3 linked regions of the Callithrix jacchus genome follow. The protein of the gene in region 3 interacts with the protein of the main gene of each other region in a biochemical or structural test. Links are inferred from orthologs where the notes say so. Each region holds a gene or a part of one and is shown on either strand. Other genes may lie near its edges.

Region 1 (3,647 bases), about 19 Mb from region 3:
TTCTATATGCTACCCACTATGCTGCCCTGCTTGATTGTCCTGCCAGCACCTTCTAAATGACTGTGGGTGGGGAGAGCTGGGCATTAGCCTCTGAATGAGGTTTGTATGCAAGGTGGACAAGCAGCCAGACACAGCCAGTAACTGAACAGACTGGGGACTCTGGCTATGAAATGGCTGGGGAAGAAACATAAGCAGTGGGTTAGACTCACTAAAGCACTCCCAGGTGCACAGAGGAGGCCAGGTGGGATTTCCCAGCAGTCTATCTGGGAATACTCCAGGATAGTCTCTGTGACAGGCAGCACTATGTGGAAGGGCACTACTTGACTGAATTCCCCTGTCCCTTCATCCATGACCACCTGGGAAAGCCCCCCACATGGGCACCATGGTTCCTGTGGGCAGAAGACCCACTGGAATGATTCCTATGAACCCCCAGTGGATGCAGAGAGGAGAACGTCAGGGTGTAAGCAATGCTTTGCAGAGCAAGCACCCTGGTCCTATTGTCCCTGAACCTGCCTGAGGCAGGGACACAAGATCTATTGGTGAAAAGGGCCTGTGTTCTATGCTGTTAGATGGGCTTACTTAATAAGCTCTCTCTTCCTTTTGCTGACAGAATAATAATGCTTTTCTTTCTCGAGAAAGAACAGTCTTTCTCGAGAGAAAGAAAGATTTAGGTTTAGGGACTAACACCACTATTTACAATTTTAAAAAGCTTGAGGAGGGTCCTTAAATACTATGAACGTCAATTTCCTCGTCTGTAAAATGAAAGTATAATAACACCTATCTGGCAAGGTTATTGTGAGAATCAAAAGAGATTAGCAGTCGAGAGTGCTTTGCTAATGATAAAGCGCTATGCAATTTATCATTATTCCTCAAACTTCACAGTCCAACTCTTAGTCTCTCTTTCTGACTCTCCTGGTCCTGCTACGGGATTCACAGTCAATTCCATGAAACGAGGCCCTTCATTATATCTTGTGTCTCACTATTGAACAAATGTTTTATGTCTTATCTTTACAATGAATTGCTAGAAATCACATATATTTATTCACCATTTCGTATCAGGTAGGTGATCAATAAATACTTATTGATGGTGTAGAACTGCCCCAGCATTAGTAGAGCATAGACTTGGGAGCCAGGCCTCCCACCTACACCGCCTCACCCAGCCAACCTTGCGGGTTGGAGCCAAGGAAAGAGGCACAGAAGAAGGCTGTGCCTTGGAGTCTTAGGCTCTTGGTTTGGCTCTATCATTTCCTGTCGGTTTCCTCAACTATGAACAGAGCATAGTAATGCCACCCTGGTCACCATGAGAGTGAGCTCACCAAAAGGAGCACGTGGACAACTTTTGCAAACTATAAAGAATATGTGAAGTATTGTCACTAAGGTGAATGCCATGGCTGGGGAGCAACGGGGCCAGGTGAAGACTGAGCCCATGCTCAGTAAGGGGGCACACAGGCTGCCACCAGCACACTCACCTGAGGGTTCTTGCCTGCATCTGAGCCATGGAATGAAGTCCTGGGAACTGTTGCTGATGGGGTTGCTCACAGTGCAGACGTAGATATTTTTAGCATGCTGGGGTCCGAGGGTGAGGGACAGGAGGTGGGAGCTGTTGGCTGGGCTCAGTGGTTGGGTGCCAGCCTTTTCACTCCAGCTGTAAGCCACATGGTCCCCCTTCTTCACTATGCAGCCCAGTATCAAGGTGCACGTCCCGTTCTCCTGGGTCTTGTTTAACACTTTAATTTCTGGAGTGGAGACCTGCTCTGTCAGGAGTAGGAGGAAGGGAGCCATCACTGAAATGAACCCCTGGGAATTCTCACTTGACCTTTCTGTTAGGACAAAGACTAATGGCATTCTCCCTCCCCCTCAGTGTGATATATTTCTAGCGGGGACTCTATTGCTTCACACTATTCCTCATGGCCCGCTACACTCTTTCTAAGACCACCTTGGGATAAAATAGAAAAGAAGAATTTGCTTTTTAGGCCCCTTCCACCAATACTGTGAGGGCTTCATTCGCCCTTACTGATGTTCTTGACCTAGGTTGCTATTCTCCTGTCTCCTATCGGTGGAGTTTGCTGTCAACTCATCCATTATGGTTTTTAATTGGCTTATGTTGTTACTTCCCAGACCTAAAAGAATGACTTTTTAGTAGTGGGATTTCATCTATAGTAATGGGTGTGGCAGGGTGTGTGTGTGTGTATGCGTGTGAGCATGCGTGCATGCGTGCAAGCATATGCCTGTTCATGGGTGAGTGGGTGGGTGTGTAGCAAGTGCTTTTGTGTGTCCGAGATAGAGATAGGTCCTCAATTATAACCATAGACCTCATCAGTCTATTCCACTCTAAGGCCATGAAATAGCCCAGCTAAAAGGTAAAACCTTGCTTATTTAGCAACTATTATAGGACAATCACAGTGCTCATTTACCATCTTTTTAAATCTTCTCAACAATTATAACTCTAGTTATAATTATTCCTGTTTTACAGATGAGAAAGCCAAGTCCCAGGGAGGTGGAATGTCTTACATCTCCCAGCTTCTAAGTGGCCAAGTGAAGATCCGAACCTAGAACTGTCTTACTGCGAAATCCAAACTCTTCCCTTGGCTTGATGCCATGGTTGCAGAGGCCACATTTTCCAAAGTAAGAATTTGATCACAGATGTGACAAAAACAGGAAACTAGGAACAAAAGGATGGAATGTATGGCATCCACACTGTTTTGAAAATGCATCTTGTGCAGCCTCCATGCTCATGGCAATCTTGCCCCGGAGTCACTGTTGGAGTGCCACGGGAATTCTGCAGGGACTGTTTGAAGGAAGGAAATGCCGGGACAAGGGAGGACGCGTGAAAGTATTGCTGTCTTCCCTCTAGATATTTGAGAATTTCAAACAAATGCTGGTTATGTGGGAATTCCTGTCCCATCCCCAGACATAAGGATGTCATTTTGAAGAAGCAGAAAAGCCCCACATGGCTATCAGGACCCCTGGGAATTCAGATGAGCCTCTGGGTCTAAGAGACACAATCCCTGAGTGCACTCAAGAGGGACAGGCAGTTAAAGAGGCTCAAAAAACCACTCTCCTTGGAATCAGGTGGACCTGGTTCCTAGTTGAAGTGCAGCAACTTACAGACTTTATAACCAAAGCCTTTGTTTAAATGCAAAAAAGGCACTTCTCCCACCCGGTAGGTGTGATCTGGTGCGGGAGTGCAGGGCTTAGCAAGTGGCATGTGGGCTGGATTTCAGCCTTCTTTATCCAGAACCCCAGTGCAGTGAAACACCTACATGAATGTGTGTAAATGTGCTAACCGCTTCTCTCTAGCTTTCAGTGTCTGCGTGTATGAGAGAGGCTGGGTTTCATCTGTGGTATTCAATTTTTTTAATCAGAAAAAAATCCTATTTTCAAATAAAATCTTATTTGCAAACCAAGATTCTTGAAGATATAGGCCCTCCAGCCCACAGGGAGCTGCCCCCTTTTCTTTGGGAAATGGGAGTAGGAGTAACTAGTGCTACCATCAATGTTCAATTTGGAAAAAAAATGTCAACCTTTAAAACGTCTTCCCAACAACAGGTTTAAATACCCTTGAATTAGAAGATCATTCAAGTTACTTCCAATTCTGAATACCCTTTGCTTTTGAGAGAGACCTAAATTCTTGGTCAAAGGAGCGC
Region 2 (3,647 bases), on a different chromosome or scaffold from region 3:
CGTGTACCAGGGGCAATAGGGCAGTACCAGGCAGGGTGCCCATCCCTTGCATCCTGGGGAGTAGGGCACAGTAGGCACAAGGCAGAGGCACATACCAGGCAGTCAGAGTGCTTGGGGCCCGTGCAGCCGGCAGCACACTGCTCATGGCAGCAGTCAGTGGGCAGCGGGCCCTTGCAGCGGGCACAGCCACCGGCACAGACAGTGCGTGTCACTGTTGGGTAAAGGGAAGGATGAGGGCTGAATAGCACCCTGGACACTAGACCCTCATCAGCATCACCTTCTAGGGATACTACCTACCCCAGGGAAGACATCCCAAACCTGTTATCCCACCCCTCCCTTGTCACCTGTATGACACCTGTATTTCACCCTGCCCTGGCCCTCCCCTCCCTTGACTCCAGGCCTCCCTGAGACTCACGGCTCTGACAGTCCTCAGAACTCTCTCCCCAGCAGCGGGAGCCCTTACACGCCGGAGAGCAGGGGTGGCCTGAGGACAGAACCAGAGAGAGGCAGTGAGAGAGATGTCTAACAGCAAGAGGACAGGTTAATAACGGAGAGACACACAAACAGCAGCAGAGGCCACAAGGCCAACTGCACAGCAAGGGAGGGACCCCAACAGACAGAGAGGCCCCCAAACCAGAGGCACCACCTAGAGGCAGAGGGAGACAGGACAGGGAACCCCAGAGCCAGAGATGAAGAGGCACAGAGAGATGGCAGGAGGGACGGAGAGGGAGGAAATGAGTGGTGGAGGCAGCTGGGGCAGTGGCGGGCGGGCTCTGGGTTGTAAGTCAGGAGTCTGGGGCTGGGGTCAGGCTGTCCGAGAGAAGGAGTGGCAGGGGGAGCATGGCTTACAGGCCCGAGAGCGGTTGGTGTCTATCAGTGTGAGAGCCAGCTGGTTGTTCTTGTGGAAGATGTCCTTCCACAAAACCATGTCCTGGTAGCAGAGCTGGGGGTTCCGCTGGATCCAGACCCCTCCCTTCAAGATCTCTGTGGGGTGAGCAATGATCAGGGATCCTTTCCCCTTCGGTCACCTTCTGCCTCCCTTGGGGCCCTCATGCCTTCTAAGACAGGAGCAGGCCTTTTAAACCCCCTGATTTCCCAGGGAGGAGAGAAGAGATCTTCGGCATCTTCAAGCCCCACCAATACCACCTCCACCACATGAACAAAGCAAGACCAGGGAGAAGTGAGTTGTCCATGCTAGGTCCAGATGCCGACGTGGACCACAGCTTTCTCCTCCCCTCTCACCTCTACTCTGGGCATGCTGCTTGGCGGTTAACAGACTGTGGAATCTGAAACCCAGCCCCATCACTCACTCGCTATGTAACTTTTGTCCCTTATCTCATCTGTAGAATGAGAATCACTGATTCTTTCCTGACAGGACTGCAGCTTGACTGAAATGGGACCCTGCAGGCAAAGCACATGGCACCCAGACTCTGGGGACAGTCGGCTCCAGACCACCCAATAGTGACATGGGTTGTTCACTGTACGCTTCACTCAGCCAAGTCGGGGCAAAAACCCAGCCTGCATTCTATGATTGAATGATGTGTGCTGATGCAAGCTGCACCTTCCTAGGAAGACAGGGAATCTTTTCCCAATCTTCTGAGGGCATCTTCCTGGGCTCTGCCTGCATCTGCCTAGAGGGACACCATTTCTTTTTTTTTTTTCCCCCAAGATGGAGTTTCACTCTTGTTGCCCAGGCTGGAGTGCAATGGCATGATCTCAGCTCACCGCAACCAACCTCCACCTCCTGGGTTCAAGGGATTCTCTTGCCCCAGCCTCCCAAGTAGCTGGGATTATAGGCACGCGCCACCACACTAGGCAACTTTTGTATTTCTAGTAAAGACAGGGTTTCTCCATGTTGGTCAGGCTGGTCTCAAACTCCTGACCTAAGGTGATCCACCCACCTCACCTCCCAAAGTGTTGGGATTGCAGGCGTGAGCCACCGTGCCCAGCAGAGGGGACACCATTTCTAATCCACACAAAGCCTCCCCATGGTCAGCTGTGGCTCTGGTCAGCTCTGAATAACCAAGAGAAAGTTTCAATGATGGTGAAGGCCACCTGTGAGGCTTCGAAGCTGCAGCTCCCGCAGGCCTCCTGGGGAGGCCCCTGTGACAGGGGTGGTATTGTCCAGAGGGTCTCCGTTGTCTAGCACAGCCAGGGCATAGTTGTCCTCAAAGAGCTGGGTGCCTCGTACAATCCGCAGCCTCTGCAGCGGGACCTGTCTCACTTGGTTGTGGGCGATGAGCACGTAGCCCTGCACCTCCTGTATATCCTGGTAGGGAGCAGTAGGGTGGGGCTGAAGCAGGAACACTACTACCCCCCAAGGCCTCCCTGAGGTTCCCCAGTACTTAGGGATCTTGGGCAAGGCCCCCAGCCACGGAGCAGTCCTGTTCCCTCATATATAAAATGATAAAATGGAGATAAAGGTGATGTCCCGCCTTGTCTCACCAGATTCTTACATGATCAAGAAAGATAATGGTGGGGGGCACTTTGTAAACTCTGAGCAGGTGCCCCACCCTCTCTGCATCTTAGTTTCTTCCTCAGTGAAAGCAAAGGCCTGGATGGGATGGCGTCTACAATTTGACAAACCAAGCAGGTGACCCCACTCCAGGGTCCGTGGACATGACCCAGCAGGCTGGTTTCCACACTCTCTCTCCTGCTCATAACGTTTTCACAGACATTTCTCTTTCGAGCTTCACAATGGGTACCTATTGCTCCCAATAAACAGATAGGGACACTGAGACCCAGTGAAGCGAAGCGGGTGTAGGCCACATTCATAGGGCTTGTCAGTGGCAGAACTGGGCCTGTAATCCACCTTTCTCACCGGCCCTTTCTGCTCTGGATGGGAGCGGGACAGTGGCTGGGGCAGGTGGATGGGGGACATGATCATGCTGACAAGAGAGCACAAGCTATAGCAGAAACCCAGATGCATCCCATCCAGAGATGTCCTCGGCCAGCCACATTATAGAGAGTCAACTGATTCTGCAGTAAAACGAATGGGGGTTGGACGCTGGAAAGGACTTCCTGGTTGAGAAACAACAAGAGAGGAAATAAAGGGCAGGGCACCGTCTTCTGCCACCCACCTGTAAACAGAGGGCTCAGCCCAGCTGGAGGCAGGGCCTGGCTGGGTTGCCCATGGGCCTCACCTGCAGGAAGGAGAGGCTGGCATTGGCGGGCAGGTAGGTGAGTTCCAGGTTACCCTGCACCACCTGGCAGCCCTGGTAGAGGTGGCGGAGCATGTCCAGGTGGGTCTCAGGACTGGCAGGGAGCCGCAGCTTCATGTCCGTGCCGGTGCACACTGGCAGGAGGGAGCAGATGGGTCAGAGGACACTGGCCAGGGACCTTCTCAGATCTAGCCACCCCATCCAAACTCATTCCCAGGGTCATGCCACCTCAAACAGGGAGAAGGCCTGACTGAAGGACCCTTCCACCCACATCCCTTGAACCTGCAGGGTTAACAGCAGAAGAAAGCTTGTGTGTTTGGGAAGTAGAGGGATTTCAGGGGAGAGGCTCCTTCTGACTGGGCCCACCCTGTGCATCCAGAGGCTGCCCCAGCGTGCCAGCCCTGTGGAGCTTACCCGCCAGCACAGGGTGTTGGCTGGAAAAGAAAGACTCCCTTTGTCCCAAAGGCACAACTCAGAGCCAGGGGT
Region 3 (4,422 bases):
AGCATATAGAGATCTTCCTCATCTCATCATTCTATAGTGATATTCCATTATTTACATGAATCCCAGCTTATTCACTTATCCCTCTACTCACAAGTCTTTCAGTTGTTTGTCATCTTTTTCGATTAAAAATACTACCTTATTCACAAGTTATTTTCTAATCCTGCCTGTAGTTTTGTGATAGATTTCTAGACTGAGATTGTTCTATTAGATCGTGAAGGCATACACAAATGTGCAAGGCATTGTCAAACTCTCTTTTACTATAGTTGTAACTATTTTGTATCCTAACCAAGATACAAGATGTTCTATTTTCTTTCACCATCACCAATCCAGTAAGTTTTCACATTTTTGATTTTTTTCACCAATATGATAGGTGAGAGATGTTCTCTCAGCATGGATTTAATTTATATTTCTTTTACTCTGAGGATTGAATTTTGAAACAGGAAAAAGGTCCAGCAAGCCCCTGTGATAACCAAGAGCCTGAGCATACTTTCAGTTATTTTCTCTTTTATGTCAAAAACATCTTCACACGATGATTGTGAATGTATTCCCAATAATTACCGAATTTCTTCTTTCATCATTAATAACTCTGTCTTCAACTGCCATAGTTCCCAGGGAAATATAATAATGAATTGTCCAAAACCACAGAAGAAAAGTTGGTATTTGAGAGCAGCTCTCTCTGATAACAAGTTCCTTGATCCGTGAAACTACGCTATGCCAAACAGCAAAGAGTGGGAATTCCAAGGAAGAACAAAGACCGTTACAAGGAAGTTTCCTGAAAGATACACCCCAAGTGTGAGTAAACAGCTGGTAAGCAAAGTAGCAATGTGAAATACACATCTGGGTTAAGAAGAAGTTAAGATTCCAGGTATCTACAGAGATGAAGAAAAAGAAAAAGAAGAAGTGAAATAAAGATACGTCACGAACTCATCTTTTCTATTTTAGTTTCATTTTCATGGATTCATTTTTGAGATATATAGTGATTTCCTGTGGATATTTGAGTATACCAGTTAACCCTCCCACCTGCACCAGCCCTTTCTCCAAAAGGTACAATGCTTGAGGGTGTTAAAAATGGCGCTTTTTTTTGCCAGTTGCTAGGAGCCTTAGTCATGGAATGGGCTGTCCTCATCCACAGTGTCCCACTGTTTTCTATTCCCATTAATATCTTCCATTTTTGGTGTCATTTGATCCATGGAAATGCCACCGTTTCAATTTTCCCACTGTATCTGAGCATATCAATTCTCTCAGCATCCCAATGCTTTTTGAGCACCCAGTCTACGCTAAGCATAGCCCAATCCTATGCAACTTCAGCAGAGAATGGGTACCATTACTGCAAAAGCGATGCTGTGCTTCCTGCACAGGATGCCAGTAGCCAGAGAAGGTGATGATAGTACATGGTAATATACAGGCTGCAACGCAGTTCCAGAGAGCTTGACTTCAGCGTTGTCTCCCTAGCGATGAGCTTCACTGATTCCACTGTGTATTTAAATGTGCTTTACCCCTTTCTGTGAGTCACATGTGGGCCACATAGAGGATAAAATGTGTTGGTCATTTTATCACCCCGCCCTTCTCATTTCCTGAATCTCATGAAGCTGGTTGAGTCTCACAGATCACTAGAGACAGAGCTATTTCCACAGGAGGCACAACTGCTTCCACATCCCTCCTCAGAGCTGTCCCTTGGCTTGGGGGTGAATTTCAGGCCAACAGGGCTGCCTGGGATACAAGAGCGTTCTCCATGGATCTTCCTTACTACCACGGCCCTCTGACCAAGCGAGACTGTGAAACCTTGCTGCTCAAGGAAGGGGTGGATGGCAACTTTCTGTTAAGAGACAGCGAGTCGATACCAGGAGTCCTGTGCCTCTGTGTCTCGTGAGTAGCCTCATCTTGCACACATGTGACATCGTACATTGAATGCGGCAAAGGCACAGTAAAGGAATACATATCCCTCAGTGTTTCACTCTGATGTTGCAGTCAAAATGCATAAAGTGAGAAATAATGAGCAGTGCCAGGAGAGGCATGTGTCTGTCCGTGCTCCCCCATCTGCCTTGCTCTCCCTGGTGTAAAGGCCTGCAAGCAGACTCTGCAGCAGCAGGAGGGATATGGTGGTGGTGAAGGGAAGGGCTGAAGAAGAGGGGTACGGGGGGATGGAGAGAAGGTACTGTTCTCCAGAGATCTGTTTATTTGGTATGGAAAAGGCTAGGGGTTTTAAAAGAAATTTCAATCTGAAAGACTACTTATTCTGCAGTATCCACTTGCAATACTTAAACTATAAATCCTAATAATATTTCACATTTTGTTAGATTTGTAAAGGACTTCAATATTCGTCATTTTCTTTCATTCTTGTAGTCTATCAAGGTAAGCATAAGCAGTCACCATTTCATAGGTAAAGAAACAGAGACCTTGGTTTCTCAAATAATTTGTGTTAAAACTAATTTGGAATTTCCAGAGTCTAAGTTAAATATGAAATTCCAGGCTGGGTGTCATGGCTCATGCCTGTAGTCCCTGCACTTTGGGAGGCTGAGGCAGGGGGATCACTTGAGGTCAGGAGTTCGAGACTAGCCTGGCCAACACGGTGAAACCCCATCTCTACCAAAAATACAAAAATTAACTTGGTGTGGTGGCGTGTGCCTGTAATACTGGCTACTTGAGAGGCCAAGGCAGGAGAATCTCTTGAACCCAGGAGACAGAGGCTGCAGTGAGCCAAGATTGCACCACTGCACTCTGGCCTGGGCAACAGAGTAAGACCCTGCCTCAAAAAAAGAAAAAAGAAATTCCAGGCTACAATATCAAAGAGACCCAGTGGAAGGAACTTGCTTATGCCCAGTTTAGAAAGCAATCCTAAACAGAAATCTGAACAGATATCACTAGAAACCTCCTATCTTGATGTATTTTCCTCTTTGTAAAGTAGGGGCCACTGAACCTGTTATTATACCTGTAACAGAAAGTGAAACCCCGGTGTCTCTTGTTAAAGAAAAAAATTACTCTATGTCATTTGTTAAATCATGGTTGGGAAGACTTTACTCAGGATCATCACAATAGGTATAGGGACCACTGCAAGGAGCTCTTAGTGCAGAGGAAAGATTGGACTCAACTCTGAGTACAGCACGGACAAGTGGGAATTTATGGCCAAGGAGTAGTGTGGGATCAGTGGCTAGAAAATTACTCAGAGGAAACATCAGGGGTAAAGGGGATTCTGGCTAAGCCAGCCTAACAGAATTGTAGCTGAAGACAGACCAGGGTGATCAGTTGTTGCCTGGGGGATGGTGGAGGAGGAGGAATCTCATCAGAACCTGACAGTGATCAGATAGCTAGGGCGAGGTGTCCTTGCCAAACTGACTTAGTAGGGTTCTTTGCTAAAACTGGATTTTACAAGGAAGTACACAAATGGGCCATGGAGTAGGCTCAGAAGTCTGATTACAGACAAAAGTGATTGTCCTTACTAATAGAATACATTGGGACACACTTCTTTCTGTAAATGATACTGGAGAGACAGGCTATCTCTCTTATACCTACATCCACAGTACCATTTAAAGAAAAATATATGTTGGCTAGGAGCGGTGGCTAACGCCTATAATCCTAGCACTTTGGGAGGCTGAGGTGGGCAGATCACTGAGGTCAGGAGCTCAAGACCAGCCTGGCCAACATAATAAAACCTTCATCTCTACTAAAAATACAAAGATTAGCTGGGCATGGTGGGGGTATCTGTATCACAGCTACTCAGGAGGCTGAGGCACGAGAATCGCTTGAACCTGGGAGGCAGAGGATGCAGTGAGCTGAGATGGCACCACTGCTATCCAGCCTGGGAGACAGAGAGACTTTCCGTCTCAAAATAAAATAAATAAGCAAATAAATAAAGAGTGGGTAAGATCTGGTTACATAGAAATGGGATGGAAGGTGCTTTAGGAAGGGGAGGAGGTAGGAACAGTGGTCTAGAAGTTGGATACTTTAAAGTATGTACATACAGGGTTCCTAAAATGTCATTTGGAAACCAGCTTTTGGAGAAGGAGGATGGGATAAGATCAGGTAGTTTTAAAAGAGTGGTTCTAAAGCTAATGGGGAAACATGGATGGTTTTTGAGCGGAGAAGTGACAAGACTAGTGAATTTAGAAACTTAAATCTGACATGAAGAACACAGTGAAGCTGGAAAATGATGGCAATAGAAACTGTTGTGCCTCTGGATGGGAGATGGTGAAGAGCTAGCTGTGATGGTGCAAGCAGCGAAAAGGGAAAAAAGAAGGTGCAAGGACAGACTGGCCAGGATCTCAGGGTATACGGTCAATATTGGGATTCTCCCTCCTTCCCTCCCTCCCTCCCTCCCTCCCTCCCTCCCTCCCTCCCTCCCTCCCTCCCTCCCTTCCTTCCTTCCTTCCTTTTTTTTTCTTTCTTTTGTTCTTTCTTTCTTTCTTTCATTCTTTCTTTCTTTCT

Evidence for each region.
Region 1: the proteins of SH2D1B (region 3) and SLAMF1 interact in a test that uses a peptide from one of them, tested with the Homo sapiens proteins (2 studies listed by BioGRID). The link is inferred for Callithrix jacchus from reciprocal best matches to the Homo sapiens genes SH2D1B and SLAMF1.
Region 2: the proteins of SH2D1B (region 3) and ERBB2 form a complex in vitro, tested with the Homo sapiens proteins (2 studies listed by BioGRID and IntAct, with this or other methods). The link is inferred for Callithrix jacchus from reciprocal best matches to the Homo sapiens genes SH2D1B and ERBB2.

Annotation. Positions count from the first base shown.
Region 1 is NC_133519.1:20,570,622-20,574,268, forward strand, and holds part of SLAMF1 (signaling lymphocytic activation molecule), read right to left. Parts: intron 1,755-3,647; coding exon 1,470-1,754; intron 1-1,469.
Region 2 is NC_133506.1:120,167,680-120,171,326, reverse strand, and holds part of ERBB2 (receptor tyrosine-protein kinase erbB-2), read right to left. Parts: intron 3,296-3,647; coding exon 3,144-3,295; exon of another isoform or gene 3,081-3,143; intron 2,270-3,080; coding exon 2,056-2,269; intron 985-2,055; coding exon 850-984; intron 485-849; coding exon 416-484; intron 212-415; coding exon 96-211; intron 1-95. UniProt on the Homo sapiens protein: Protein tyrosine kinase that is part of several cell surface receptor complexes, but that apparently needs a coreceptor for ligand binding. Essential component of a neuregulin-receptor complex, although neuregulins do not interact with it alone.
Region 3 is NC_133519.1:39,150,620-39,155,041, forward strand, and holds the start of SH2D1B (SH2 domain-containing protein 1B), read left to right. Parts: upstream 1-1,612; 5' UTR 1,613-1,732; coding exon 1,733-1,866; intron 1,867-4,422. UniProt on the Homo sapiens protein: Cytoplasmic adapter regulating receptors of the signaling lymphocytic activation molecule (SLAM) family such as CD84, SLAMF1, LY9 and CD244. In SLAM signaling seems to cooperate with SH2D1A/SAP.